Diceros bicornis minor: one gene and its partner. Each later gene encodes a partner of the first gene's protein in a complex. Links are inferred from orthologs where the notes say so. Each region holds a gene or a part of one and is shown on either strand. Other genes may lie near its edges.

Evidence for each region. The genes of interacting proteins can lie anywhere in the genome.
Region 2: INTS9 (region 1) and INTS7 share a complex: the UniProt entries of both Homo sapiens proteins name them as parts of the integrator complex. The link is inferred for Diceros bicornis minor from reciprocal best matches to the Homo sapiens genes INTS9 and INTS7.

The regions. Positions count from the first base shown.
Region 1 is NC_080750.1:64,983,860-64,991,486, reverse strand, and holds the start of INTS9 (integrator complex subunit 9), read right to left. Parts: upstream 3,014-7,627; 5' UTR 2,751-3,013; coding exon 2,742-2,750; intron 1-2,741. UniProt on the Homo sapiens protein: Component of the integrator complex, a multiprotein complex that terminates RNA polymerase II (Pol II) transcription in the promoter-proximal region of genes.
Region 2 is NC_080743.1:77,746,468-77,754,272, reverse strand, and holds the start of INTS7 (integrator complex subunit 7), read left to right. Parts: upstream 1-4,795; 5' UTR 4,796-4,942; coding exon 4,943-5,036; intron 5,037-7,805. Other genes in the region: DTL (denticleless protein homolog), read right to left, coding at 4,437-4,488. UniProt on the Homo sapiens protein: Component of the integrator complex, a multiprotein complex that terminates RNA polymerase II (Pol II) transcription in the promoter-proximal region of genes.

The DNA.
Region 1 (7,627 bases):
TTCACAGACTTTGATAATCCTTCAGAAATTATTTATTCAACTACTATTTAGTGGCATCACACTATATGTCAGGCCCTGGGAATACACAGAGTTTACATGAGGGAGGACGGACATAAAACCAATAATCACAAGTGTAACAAAACGGAAGTGTGCCATGGAAGTATATAACAGGGGTACCTAATTCAAGGAGACTTCGAAGAAGTGCTATTTAAAGAGAGATCTGAAATATATGAAGAAATTAGGCAGGCAAAAAAGTGTTGTAGGCAATGGAACATATTTAAAATCCTAGAGGCAAACGAGAGTAGGGTGAGTTCAAGGTACTGGAAGACGTGCAATATAATTGAAACAAGGAGACCAAGCAAGATGAGGGCTAGACACAAGCCTGGAGAGGTAGGCAGGGTCATATTCTACAGAACCAAGTAAGCCAAGTTAAGAATTGTAAGACTTTATCCTAAGGGCAAAGGAAGCTACTGAGGGTTTTATGAAACTCTGCAATTTAAAACAACTTCTGAGATGCAGAGTAGAGAATAGATTGGAGAGGGTTAACACTGAATGCAGAGAGACCAGTTAGACGATCTTGTTGAATTCCAAGTGTCATGTGAAAAGAGCCCATACAAAGGCAGTATTAGTGGGACAGGAGAGAAACAGATCTATTCAAGAACAGAAGTAGAATCAACAAGATGTAGTCATAGATTGTACATGGGAAGGGTATTTTGGAAGTCATAATCTCAAAAACAAGAAAGTGCTCAAAAAAATGTATTTCTGCATTTCACGATTATAAATGTAAAATATGGCTTAGTACATATTCCTGAAGCAGTACACAAAGTTAAAAATTTTAGGCCCTGGGAGGATTTATTCCAACTCTATGGGAGGCACGACACACAGAAGTCTAACTTAGTGAGCGTCAATGTTTTTGAAACCACTTTGCTATGTTGATACAAATTCCACATTATAGATCATCTATCAACTACCAAATGAGTTTTAGTATGTAATACGTGGCTTGAAAGTAAAGAGGGAGGGAGTATAGATAGAACACTTTCTCTTTCTCTGAGGTATCTTTTGGTTCTTAAAGGAAAAAAAAGTTTCTACTTTTTTCCCTTCCATGTCCTTTATTGAGGACATATGGTCTGTGTTCCAACCATTTAGGAGCCAAGCTCTTTTGCTTTTATAAGCTGAACTGTCTTCATGAACAGCCCTAGCCTACTCATCCTTCTTATCAGTTCAACAGTTACCCTTCCAGGAAGTTGTCTCTGACTCCCCCCACCCCCCCAGTCATCATCAATTCCCCAAATCCTGAACATGCCTTTCATTTACCATGAATACAGTGAATTATAATTCTGGCTTACTTTTCTATCTTCTGCAGTAGACTGCATGCTTCTTTAGGGCAAGGGCGTTGACTTTCAATTCTGCATTCTTAAATGTTTCACACAACCACCCAGAATCAAACTGATACTCTCAAGGTTTACTGATCTGTACCCTTTCCCTTACACAAACGTCTTTAAATGGAGACAGTTTTGTAGTTGAATCTACTTTTAATACATTCTCTGATTCCTCAGAAAACAGCTGACACTTTGCAGAGTATATGCCTGTAGCATTTATGTGTGCTCTGGAAAAGCATGTTCAAATAATTAAGAAAATAAACCTTTTGTTTTTGTATAAAAATTACAGAAAGTATGGGGCCAGCCCCAGGGCATAGTGGTTAAGTTCTCGCACTCTATTTCAGCAGCCCAGGGTTTGGGGGTTTGGATCCTGGACAGACCTACACACCGCTCCTCAAGCCATGCTGCGGCAGCATCCCACATATAAACAATAGAGGAAGATTGGCACAGATGTTAGCTCAGGGCCAATCTTCCCCACCAAAAAAAAAAAAAACAGGTACAGAAAGTAAAGCTTGACAATACGTGGCCACAGGAACATGGATTTTTAAAAGGTTGAGAACCAGCATTTCACACCTGCTTTTCTACTCTTAATTATGCTATTACTAATTCCATAGAGTTGGAATAAACTAGTTAGATCTGTGTGCACGAGAGTAAAATGGCTCAAAATAAAGGTCTGAGAAGCTTTCCTATAAGTCAAGCGTTTGAGTTTTGAGATGAAAAGACTTCTCTAGGTATACTGGTATGCTCCATCTAACCTTGGCTCATGCACTCGCTACAGCCCTAGACTGGAATGCCTCAACACTTCCTCTCAGCCCATCTTATACAGGGTTGGTCAAATTCTCCAAGATCACACCCTGACCTCCTCTGAATTCCAAGGGCAGTTAGGAGTCTAAAGAAGAAAATTTAATAAGTGATAACGCTCTGCCAAATTATTTTCTACTCTGCTCACATTTAACCTAAGCCTTCTCTACAACGGTAGAGGGAAACGATAATGAAGGGCCAATCGCGTGGACAGAAGTTAACAACCTATTGTAACACTCACGTGGCAGCTGAGAAACAAGTCAAACTTAGTTCAAGTCCAACCTTAGTTCCTAGGTGAAGAAAGGTGATAGTCAACCTCTTAGCTACCAAAGGGACCCGCCAAGGGATGAATAAGATCTCCTGGCAATCGCGTGCGGGGGAGTGTGAGGTGGGATTCAAAAAGCCTCAACAACCAACAGCAGCTTTCCTCAGTCCACCCCACTTTCTAGTTCCCTAACTGCCACCCCTCCTCCACGACGGTACCCTTCTCAAGGTGGAAACGACGAAGTCCAAAAGGATATGGCATCACCTTTGCCCTGTGACCTAGATGCGAAAACTCACCAGTTTCATATTGGACTTTTGGTTGTTTAACTCCAGTCACCCGACTCCCTCAAACCCAGAAAGCGTCTTCCGGTTCAATCTCTACCACCGGCCCACCGAGAGCATCGCGGGACACGCAGTCTTTCTTCCCTACGCCCCCTTCCCGGGGCATCATGGGAAATGTAGTCATCTCTCCAAGCATCATGGGACCTGTGGTCATCTTTCCTTTTCCTCTCTTTCCTCTCCGAACACCGCCTTCCGTCAGCTCAAATTCTTCCCTGCCGCCAATTCATCTTCCCTCTCCACCCTAGCGTGATATCATGTCCCTCTTCTGGGCCTGGGACCCATGGTATTCTGGGATGTGTAGTTCCCAGGGCTCTGGCGCCCCTGTCTCCTCCTCCCTTTGGGGAGGCGGATGGGCGCGGGACTTGCCGGGAGCTGTAGTTCCCTGGGGCCTCTGGACGCCAAGTCTCGCCCTTTTACTCAAGGGAGGCAGAACTACAACTCCCAGGGCCGCCCGGCTGCAGCAGGTGGGAGAGGGGCTGTTGCTATCAATATGGCGGTTGTCAGCCAGACAAAGACAGTCAGTCTGATGTGATTGAGACAAGGGAGGTTTTCAGGGGTAGACTGGGAGATAGGGGCCTCCCCTCCCCCTTCTCCTCTTCCTGCGCCGGCCTCAACCCCTCCCCAGACCCATCCCGACGAGCGCCCCACGCGGAAGACACCCCTCCCCCTCCCGTTTTCCCCTCCTCCCTACCTCAGCCCTTCGTACTGGGACGTTGGGGAGGGGGCTGTGCCGGGCGGAGAGAACTCAGCAAGGATTCTGAGGTGAGTCGAGCGGTTTTGAAGCCGGACTACCTCAAGTCTCTCTCCTCACTTCTTTCTCTTCACTTTTTTTTTTTTTTTGGAGAGGTTTTGGGGGGAAAGTAAGTGGGCTGGGGATGGGTCTCTTAAGCGGCCCGATTGAGAGAAGGGAGGAAGCGGGGGGCTTCCTAGTGAGTAACACGGACGCAGGGTATGGGGTGGGGTAGTTTGTGGGGGGCGGTAATTGAAAGGCGTCGGCTGCTCCCCAACTCTTTTCTCCTGGTTTCCTGCACTATGGGCGCAAGGTTTGAATCCTGGAGGTGGGGGTCTCCTGTTTGGAGTTTGGGAAACTGTGAGGTGAATTTGAGGTGTGTGGGTTTGTTTGGGGTGTATAACTGTGTGCTAAACTGTGTGACGTGTACTTGTGTGATATGTTAGTCTTGAATAAATGTCTATAGATAGGAAGTTAGATAGCTGGAGCCATAGCTTTTAACTGGGCCTGGGCAGAGAAGTGTGCATGAGGTCCGGCTGCTGGCCCTTCGGGCTGGCGACGTGGTGCGGGGTAGCTGGGGTGAGCAACTCGTTTGTGTCCTGCTGCCCGCTCCCACTACTTCTCCCCGCCCCCTCCCCGGCCAGATCTCCGCCCCAAACTCCGGGCAGGAGATGTGTGGAGATGGATTTTTGCATCCTTAAGTCGGTAGATAGGTGGGAAAGGAAAAGTGTTCTTAATATTTTATTCCGGAACCGTGTTTTGGTTACACTATTGGGGCTACTTTGAAAGGAGTCCTCCACCCACCCTCACCCCGAAATAGTAGGTAGAGGTATCTCGTCGTCTCGTGTTAAACATATTAAACATTACTTAAGATTCGGGGGCGTGGGGTAGGGGTCGGGAGTGCTGACATGTGTGTGTGTCTCTGTGTGTCTACTAGAGACAGAATGACTGTTGTGTATCTTGAGATAGGGCGACTTATTTTCGTAGTAGGAAAAACGGTTGGAAATTATTGGGGCGGGGGAGTAGCTGAAAGGCGCTTCTTGTATTTTTCTTCTACCCCACCCTGTTCTGTCTCGCATTTGTCTGAAAGCTGGTATGGAAGAGTGAGGAAGCACTGGGTGAGTGTAGGGGAGAATGCAGTTGGCATTAAAGATACTATACTATATAAAGTTGAATGGCATAAAGTGCTATTTTTATTTACCCTGAAGCTGTAAAAAACCTTATGTATCCTATAGGGTAGATTGATGTCGCTAGTTTATTTTTCTGGGATCCTCCAAGTATAGAAACCTCTGCCTTCTCTCCCTCCCTTCCTTCCTTCCTTCCCTTCTTCCTTCCTTCAGTCCTTCCTTTCTTTCTTGGCATGGTACATTTCTCTTCCTGGATGGACATAATGCCTCTTGTGTATGTTTGTTTAGTTTCTGCTAATATTGTTGTGCTTTTTTGTGGTTCTACTATAAAATGCATCATCAGATGAAAAGGATTTGCATTTGTTTTTATTTTGCATTTATGTTTCAGGTGATTATCACGAATCAGGATTGCAGAGCTTTGCGTTAAACTTATTTTAAAATCACACAACTAAGTTGTTAGATCTAGTTGAATTATGTTTATAAAACCAAGTTCGGAAAATCTGAATTCTGATTTTTTTTCTCAAGTTTCAATTAGAGTTATAAAGGGAAGAGGATTGCAACATCTCTTGTTTCTCACAGTCTTTAATATTTAATAACATTACACCAGGAGAATTTAGGATCATGTTTTGTACTTCCCTTAGTCTGAAATAACGTTTTTCAGTAACCCTTCTTCTGTGACAGTTTTTAGTGTAATGGACTTTTAAATAACTAGAGAAATTGGCATAATTTCTTGTTTGACTATTGAAAATTTAATGTATTTACATATTCTGCTCCAAACTTATCAATTCTTGAACCTATCAGTAAAGGACCTTAGGTTTCATGAAAACTGAAAGTGATGTAGATACAGCGTGTAATTTTATGATATGTTTTATAACCTTTGATTTGAAATTTCTGTGGTTCATTCACACAGATAAGCTAACTATAAGCATGAGGTAGCGTATATATTTAGATTGACCTGAATAAAAAAAAATTGATGTCGTCTGAATCTCGAATTTAGAATATAGAATATGTTGGTACAAAGCTGAGCCTTTAGTTTGTTATAGACTAGGTTTGTTTTAACCTTCTGTGTCAGCTTGAAACATTACTTTGCAAAAACTGGAGAAAAATCCTATGTAACTATATAACAGTGTTTTGTTTTGTTTTTTGCTGAAAGATATTCTGTTAGACATAGAGTTTTAAAATGTTCAATATTTATTTTAGAAATTAAAAAACTAAAATTTTGTTGAGTTGGAAAAATATAAGAGTATTTTCTGTTCCACTCAACGTTACCTCAGATTTTTTGTCTGTTTTCTTCTATGGAAATGCAAAGTTACTTACTGAGCAAAGCTTTCATTAAACTTTTTCTGACTACTAGTCTGGTTGAAATCATTAAAGTAAACGAAATATATTCCTTGCATTCATTGAAGGTGATTCTGTTGCATGTTAAGCACTGAGCATTAAAATGATGTAAAGCCTTTACTGCAGGTTAAAGCATAAAACATTCTCAGCATGTGGAAGTCATATGGTTTACGAAAAAAGTAGAAAATCAGGGCATTGGTGCCTGTCCAGCTTAAAATTTCATCCCGTAACTGTGAAAGACGTATTTATTTTAATACAGTTGCTTCTAAAAATGCTGCCTGTATTATGGGAAGTTGAAAATCCAAACAGTTTTTAACCAATCTGTTGCTAGTTTAGTGTACTGCATATCCTGGCTACTGTGGTTGCAAATGTGCATCAAGGAGCCTTTAGGGGTCAGCTTTATGTTGAATGTCTTTAGTGAGGCTTCAATTTCACTGCTGTACGAACAGATTTCAGTCATCTTAGTGCAAATCCTTAGTTGAAGCATCACTAATAGAAACTTAATAGCTCACTATTGGTAAGTTATAAAATATATTGCAACAAATCTCTCATTGTTTCATCATTTAAAAAAATAGAAGTAACCAATTTATGGCAATTTTTGTGGCAAGTATGGAGTGGAATGGAATTGCTTATTTCAGTAGATGTTGAACACATTAGGAATATTTATGCTTAATTTGTTCATTTTGGGTCTTTTGTGTGTTATATTCAGTCCATTCCACTTTTAATGTTTCAGAAAGCTTCCATGTTTCCTGTAAAACCACATTTACTTTTTCTGTTCATTTCTTTACAGCTCTTCCTTCAATTACTTTTGTATTCAGATCTTTAAACTTGAATTATTTCTCTTGGGAATTAGAAATTTATCACAGGATGTCATTTTTCATAAATTAAAGTTGGTGTACCACTCAACTTTTTAAAAACGTAAACATTTATAAACTTGTAAGTGCTGAGTGAAAATCTGTCGGGTTTGTTTTATGAACCTGCTTTATTTAGGTTTTTTGGCTTCCAGAGTTAATTTTATAGCTCCCTTTGCTATTTGGCTAGGTTTTTCTCTTAACTGTTGGTTTTTACTTCTCAATTTAGTAGAACTTCAATTTATAAAAAAGTTGTTTTAAGTAGAAATCACAGCTTGTCTAGAGTGTCATGTATGTACGTTCACGTATGCACTCACATATATAAAGCGCCTTTATGTTTGTTTATAGCTGAAATTGGTAAATATCTATCAGACATGCAACCTGTAAAAAAGGAATCTGAACCACAAATAACAGGAGACTCTCAGCAGTGGCTCAAGCTAGAAACCAGAGAACCACCAGCACATTTTACACCATTATTTTAACAGATTCTGCCAAAATCTATTTCTTTCAAAATGGAAGCTATTGGGATTAAAATGTTTCTCAAAGTAGTATTAAGTAATATGTGACTTAGATTCCTAGGTGTGGCTATCTCCCCAGATGACCCTTACTGGTCTTAGAGCCCATCATAAGTACAGAGTAAAGATTTTTCCAAGTGATTATTTGATGTAAAACTTTTAGTTAGAGTCTACTTAAACATAATCTAGTGCTTCAGGTAACTTGTTTTTCTTGATTTTAGATGAAACAAGTTGGATATTTACCATAACATTGTCTTGGACACTTTCCAAGAGCATTTAG
Region 2 (7,805 bases), on another chromosome or scaffold:
AAGTGCCATTCTCTTCAATTAACATCTTCTGTTTTTAGAGTTTCTAAATCAACATTACTGCAAACTCTTTAAGTTACTAGCAACATCATACATAATCCAATGGGCAAGGAGTTAAAGGAAATACTGTATGTCAATGTGCCTAGTATAGCCACTAACATATTCACAATACTAATTTCACTTCCTCTCTTCTTTCCATTGCTAAAATTCTAGGATTCTAAAATGTCAACAGCAACCAGTCATAGTATCTTAAAGTACATTAGAGCAATTTTAAAGTAAAGCGTTATGTACCTACCCCAAGAGTACAATCAGTTAGCCCTGGCTAGTAGTAGCGTAAGGTCAGGGAAGTCTCTAGAGGAAGTGAAATCAAACTAAGTCTTGAAAGATCAATAGTTTTCATTGAATATATGAGAGAGGAAGACATTCAGGGTGGAGGGAAAGTTTACTCTGCTTGGGCCAGAGACCTAATGTGCACTATGGTCCTAAACAGTAAACCATCTTCAAAGATTTGTTTTATCATTTTGATATGTGGGTTAACACATTTTAAATATGTAAGAGAAACATTCATTCAATAAATAATTACTGAGAACCAAATGTTTACTAAGCATCAGAGGAAACAATGAAGTTACAATCTATTGAGACCTGTCTAAATAACTAAAACACTCTTTCACATTTTAGGGTACTTTCAATTCTCACTTTTCATTAAAAATACTTTGGAGAAGACATCTTAGCCTGACAGAATCTCAGATAAATCTAGTTTTGGATGTTTATAGAGATAACTTGAAGGAATCAGTACAAAGGAGGCAAAGAAATTCAATTCAGATTTAGTAATTATTCCTCGGGGTATTACCTCTAGGTCAGATATCACTGTAAACAAGCCACTAAAGACCATTAAAAGAATACAATTAGTTATGTTGTAGAGTTCACAAACATCCATCTACAGAACGATTTGAAAAACAAAGTCTCTGTTTTAAAGTTAACGACTGCAACACAGGAATTCAAAGGGACTGAATCTTGAACAATTTAGGTGGAACTGAAGATCACATGCTCAGGATACCTAATTCTTTACAATTAAACAGTGACCCCCTCATTTCTGCCTCATTGCCTACAGACTAACATCCCACCACCAACAAATGGCCTAATGTGGCTTAGTAATGAGTTCCTAACTACCCCTCCATTTCTGCACTGCCCACAACACACACTTCATGGACCAGCCCCTTAAGCTACTTTTGGATCCTTATTGTGCTATGCTCTTTCCACCAAGAACCTGTAATGCTTTCCCCCTACAATACTCTTTTGGAAAAGCCTATTCTTTCCTCATTGTACAGATTAAGCCCCTGGGGTTACATGCAGATTTTTCAGGGAGTATCCGAAGGCAAGCGAGTTCTCAAAGAATCAATTTCTGGATACTCAACTTCCATATATATGCATTTCTAAAATTGATCTGTGGCTGAGGCTCTCTTTTCCCCTTTCTCTTCATCACTGCCTTTCTTCCAGTTTTCAAAAGAAAGGCATTTCCATACCCCAATCTTACACCTTGCATTCACCCAAGGTATGAAAACTTCTGAGACCCCAACTAAGAGATAACTGGATAATTCCTTTAATAAAGGGATTATAAACACCCAATTTCATCTCTTTAAAAGATATACTTCCAATAAAATTTTACTTTGCTTAATAATTATTTATCAAAATTAGTAACCTAAGTTGCTTTTATCAATTGCATACTAATAATTGTAATAATTTAATCCAGAAGAAACTTTTTAACACTTGGAGCCTTACGATCACAGAAAATTTCAATTTGGAGCCTTATAATTACAGAAAATTTCAATTTAAATACATTTTTTTACACAGAGGAGTATGATAGAGTGATCAATAAAATAACTTTTCAAGGTAATTTAAAATCAAATTACCTTAGGATAAATTCTATGGGAGAAATAAAGTGGTATAAATTCACGGGGAAAAAGCAAGTATGTACAATATCTAGCAAAGAGTTTGTTTATATTTAAAAAAAATGATTCATGTGATTATCAAATCACTATAGTATTTATATTCTATTAGATACATTTTAAAGAATGATGTAGCATTTTTATTTTAAAATGCCAATATTCACAATATGGCCAGAAATAATATCCTTTGCATCTGTTTAAACTTATGATAAAAACTTTTAAAAGCCAATTTAAAAATACACAGAAGAGTAATCAGATTTCCATTTTAGAAAGATCATTGGCAGCAATATGGAGAATAACCTGGAGAAAAAGAAACTAAGAGGCCATTTGGGAGACTTGTTATAATCCAGACAAGAAGGTATTAGGCCCCAACTTAGGGAAATAGAATGGTAAGCATAGAACAGATCCAAGATACGATGAAGAGGCAAAATCAGTGGGAACAGAGAGGAGGATGGATTCAAAAGATTTTAATGGAACTTTCTGAATGTGTATCTTGAGGAAAATGGAGGAATTTTGATTGACTCTCGGGTTTCTGGCTGGGGAAACTAGTTTAAAATAATGGGACCACTTCCTAAAGTAGGTAACATAGCAGGTTTGGGGGAAAAGTGAGTTCGGTTTTGGGTACGTGAGTTTGAAATGCTTGTGGGACTGACCATCTGGGTGAAGATACTCATCCAGCTTTTATAGGAATGGACATAAAGTATAGGGAAGGCAAGGTTGCAGGTAGCAGTGGAAGAAGCCCTGGTTACGGCTATGATCATCCGTGGGAGTAGGTAGAAGAGAAAAGGGGCCTAGGGGCCGGCCCCGTGGCTTGGTGGTTAAGTGCGCGCTCCGATGCTGGCGGCCCAGGTTCGGATCCCGGGCGCGCAACGAGGCACCACTTCTCCGTCCATCCTGAGGCTGAGTCCCACATACAGCAACTGGAAGGATGTGCAGCTATGACATACGACTATCTACTGGGGCTTTGGGGGAAAAAATAAATAAATAAAATCTTAAAAAAAAAAAAAAAAGAAAAGGGGCCTAGGATGGAACACCAACACCAAAGGGGAAAGGAGAAGAAAGTCCTACAAAGTTCAGTGCATAATTTATAAGAATGAAAGAATTTCAGTGCCTAGTTCATAACAATGAATGAGTTTTTGTAAAGGAACGAGAGAGGGGAAGAAGTAGACAGACAGATTGGAGAATTAGGAGAAAATCTGTCACAAAACAGAAGCTAAATAGTTTGCCCTGGGTCACACAGTAAGGAGTGGAGCTGGAATTAAAACTTAGGCAGTTTAACTCCAAAGACAGAGCTCTTAACCACCGTACATGGCACTGCCACTCATGACACAGAGGATAGACAAGTTACTCAAGCAAGGTCCCAGGAGAGACAGAAAGAGGGACATTTAGAATATAATTTAAAAGGTTATCTAAGAGGGAAGCAGGTAAGGAAAGCATAAAGTTTTAGACTGGGGGCAGGAAGGTGAGGGACTACTCCTCAGTCTCCTCAATATCCTTTCCCTAGACCTATGGCTTAAACATAAAAAGTTCCCTTCTCAGATTCTTTTCTTTATGTTTTCCACATGGTTTCAAGGGGAAAGAAGACCTAGTCCATCTTTAAATGAATGAGATTTCATTTCTATCCATGCTGGCCTGTGTAGTAACTCCCTTACCAGAAACTTAAAACGTTTCAGGTTGATGACACCCAAACCTAAGCTTAAAACTCCTATTGCCAATGCTTTAACCTAAGGAACCTCAAGAACTGTAGAGAATAAGTTAGATTTCTACATACTAACAAGGAAATATTTCCAAGTTATACCATTAAAGTGAAAAACAAAACAAAACCATTTTGATCCCATTTCTGTAAATAACGATACATATTACCTTTGGCATTGAAAAACATTTGGTATAATACACTCCAGTCTATTAACAGTGGTCCTCTCTGGGGGATGTGGTTATGGGTATTTTCCACTCTTTAATTTCCAATTTTTATGCCCATGTAGTAAACAGGGGGAAAAAATTTTGACCATGCTAGAAGCTTGTGTTCTCTGCTTGACTGAGTTCCTTAGCAGCGAGCGGATCCTATTCACTGCTGTATATAGCAAATAGTAGGGCTCACTAAGATTCTACGACAAAGGAATGAATTAATCAATGAGTACGAGTCTTGACGATCTCACATGGCTGTTGAGAGAACCACAAACCTACAAAAACGCATGCGTTTTCCAGTTAATGTGCAACACAGATCTACGCCGTAAAGGAGGCCAGTTAGTTCAACTTCCCTCCCTCCGTCAGCCTACATTACGATTAAAAAAATCCCGATTACGATTAAAAGTGTCCCTAGGGCATATAAGTGCAGCTTTCGTCAGTAGTTCTCGCTAACACGAACTCATTCTGGCCGTGGGAGAACGGCCACCGGGGCTGGGAAACAGAAGCGGAATCGGCCTTGGTCCGAGGTGTTGTTTCGGGGGAGGCGAATCCCGCCAGCAACAAGCAGCAGTTATGGCCGTTACTCACCATTTTTCGGGACGCCAAACTGGGGCTGGCGGAGCACCGAATTGAAGAGCATCTGGGCCGGAAGAGCAGGCTCAAGTGAGGGAAAAGCCGTGGAGATGCCCCCAGGTTCGGCAGAAAGCGTAGCTTGCGCTGCTCACAACACGATTAGTTATTGCCTCCAACTCCCGCCACTGTAAGCCCCGGCCACCAAACTCCCCGCCAAACTGACGTCACGCCCTCTGATTGGCTCCCGCCGCGGCGTCCGGGCGCCTCCAAGTCACTTCCCCCTTCGAATCCCCGCCTTCTTTTCTCCCAGCCGCGGGAACCTAGAGTTCACGAGCTCCCTGAGCGCCTGCGCAGGGGGCCGCAGAGGAGGTGGCGAACGGCAGGGTGACCAGGGCGCATGCGTAACACGGCTTGACAGAGCGCGGAGGAAAAATCCGCGAGAAGGTGGTGGAAGAAGATGGCGGTGCTGGGGCAGAGTTTGCAATCTCTCTGAATAGACTAGTCGAGTAACTAGTCGGGTCATGGCGTCAAACTCAACTAAGTCTTTCTTGGCAGATGCCGGCTATGGCGAACAGGAGCTGGATGCTAACTCTGCCCTTATGGAATTAGACAAAGGTATTCGAAAGAGCGGGCTGAGCGGGTGAAACGGGCGTGGGGGAAGTGGCGCCACCAGGCGGTGGTAGCCTCGGGAGAGGCCGGGAAGGCGCATGCGCATAGCCTCCCTGGGCGGGGCCGGCTGCCTGTGCTTTTGGTGAGTCCAGCGCTTTTGCTGCTTCAGGAGATAGCAGGAGAGTTGCGGCGTTGCTGGGTTGGCCTTGCACCAGCTGAACAAGTAGCGAGCTCCAGTGGTGGGCCCGTTTTGACCGCCTGAGGGCACAGTTCCCCGATTTTCCAAGCAGTTTCTAAAAATCCTAAATTGAAACTGTGAAATTATTTTTCAGTACGTTCAGTTGAGACCAACTCGTAACCAAGAGTGCTAAATAATAATCTTGCACTGATAACAGCGATTCATTTGATTTCTGTACCTCTGTTACCTGCTGGTTACTAGGCGGATTAAATACGGCCAAGACCCTCGGAAAAGCATAGCCCCTGCTCCTCCTCTGCAGACAAATTTCACGAGTTCTGTTTCCTTACGGGGGCGGGGCGGGGGTGGTGCTGGAGGGCAGCTTGGTGTGGTTGAAGAAGCTTTGGAGTTAGACTGAGTTGAATTCCAGTTCTGCTAATTTTATGGTCTTGGGCAGGTTACTTAACTTCACTTAACCTCAGTTTTTTGTCTGCAAAGTGGGTACAGTATCATTGAGCTGACCAGATTGTTGTAAATATTAAGTGATATAATGATACGCAAAAGAAGCCTTTATTAAGTCTAAAGAGATATGCCTTCTTTCTAGGATATGGATATGGGAAGCAAGGGCAGATATTTGTCAGTAAAGAACTCAAGTATTAAAATGAAGCCTTTGTTTCAGTGTACTTCAGTGGTTTTTATTGAACGCGGGAAGCATTTTGTCACCTGGTATACAGTTAATTCTTGATTAACCATAGCCGGTGTATAATGTATTGAGAACTGGATTAGGGGTTAGAAGGATCTTTCTTTAAGTCCACTTTGAGCAACTCCCCAGCTCTCTGACTTGGACGTTCTAGTAACTTTTTTGGGACTCTGTTTTTTGGATTTGTTGGTTTGTTTTTTAACCTGTAAACATATCTAGTGGGTTGGTCTAGATAAAGGTTTCTCAGACTTTTTTTTTTTTTTTTTTTGTGAGGAGATCAGCCCTGAGCTAACATCCGCCAATCCTCCTCTTTTTTTGCTGAGGAAGACGGCCCTGGGCTAACATCCGTGCCCATCTTCCTCCACTTTATATGGGACGCCGCCACAGCATGGCTTACCAAGCAGTGCGTCTGTGCGCGCCCGGGATCCGAACCAGCGAACCCCGGGCCGCCGCAGCGGAGCGCGCGCACCCAACCGCTTGCGCCACTGGCCCGGCCCCTCTCAGACTTTTTAAAAAGCTTTTAACTCCTTTTGATCAACATGAAAGTGTCACAACACTCCAGTGATATAATCGTTTGGTTGAATCACAGTATCTTTAGCGCATCCCCATCCGCCAAGAAAATGATGTTGAGCTTTGCTTTCTCTTGCCAAAGCTATAGGATTTTTTCCCTCTGAAATATAAAATTGTGACTTTAAATGTGTTTTTTTAACACTTCGTAATCTTTTCCTTCCCATTCTGATAATTCCTTCCTTATTCCCCAGTGAGAGTTGCAGGTCCTGATATGTAATATCCTTACCAATTCTAAGACATTTTCTACCACCTTGGTGGGCTCGTCTCATAATGACAGTAAAACAGTGCTTGTAGAACAGAGATCACAATGGGACTCCGTATTAGAAATCTAGAATTGTTTAATTCCTAAACATTTGCAATTATGGTAAGAAAAAAATACATCACAATTTTTCATTCTTAAAAGTTGAAATAGATATATTTCAGATCTATAAGAAATAAATGGATGGCTATTGAGCGTTTAACTGTAAACCAGGTGTCAGTCCTAGATACTAAGGAAGTGATATATTGTTCAGTCTTCTCAGCAATGCCCTGGTGAGTATTTTTCAGATGAGTCTCAGAAGGATAGATTGGACACGACGAGAGCAAAACTTTTGTTCTTTTTCACCTCAGCATGCTATACCTTTTAAATCTGTTAAGAGATTAGATTATAGAAATAGCCAGTTTCATTAGAATATAGTTTAGTATTTTAAATATTGAGTCATTTCATCCTTTAGCTGTTAAAGTATTTCTGTTTTGTGAGCCAAAGTTCAGAGGGTCAGAAGGCTACAGATTCCAGCTTTCTTTTAGTTCCAAAACTTATAGACCAGTTTCAGAAAGTGCACCCCAAGAAATACTATTTCTGAAGTATTTTAATAGGAGTTTCTTCCTCCGTATCCTCTCGCCCTTTTCTTCTCTCTCTCCCTCCCTCTCCTGACAACATACAGACACTCAGACACTCACACTCACATACATCACTTATTTGATCAGGCTTTGTGCTAGGGAAACAGCAATGAAACAAAACAAAGCCGCTCCCCTTATTGAGTTTATATTCTGGACAGAGAAAACAGACAATAAACAAATATAGTAAGCATGTATTGTGACAGATAGTGATACATATTATAAAGAAAACAGAAACAAGTGAAGGGAGCTGGAGAAAACTGGGTATGGGGTTGGAATTGGTTTGTTAATTTTATATAGGATAGTCAGGAAAGGCCTCACTGATCAAATAAAGGAACAGCAAATGCAAAGAAAGGCCTTGAGATAGGAGCCTGCTTTGCTTGCTGTACCTTGAGCAGAGTGATTGACAATGAAGGTAGAAAGATAATCAGAGGCCAGTTCCTGTAGGGCAATG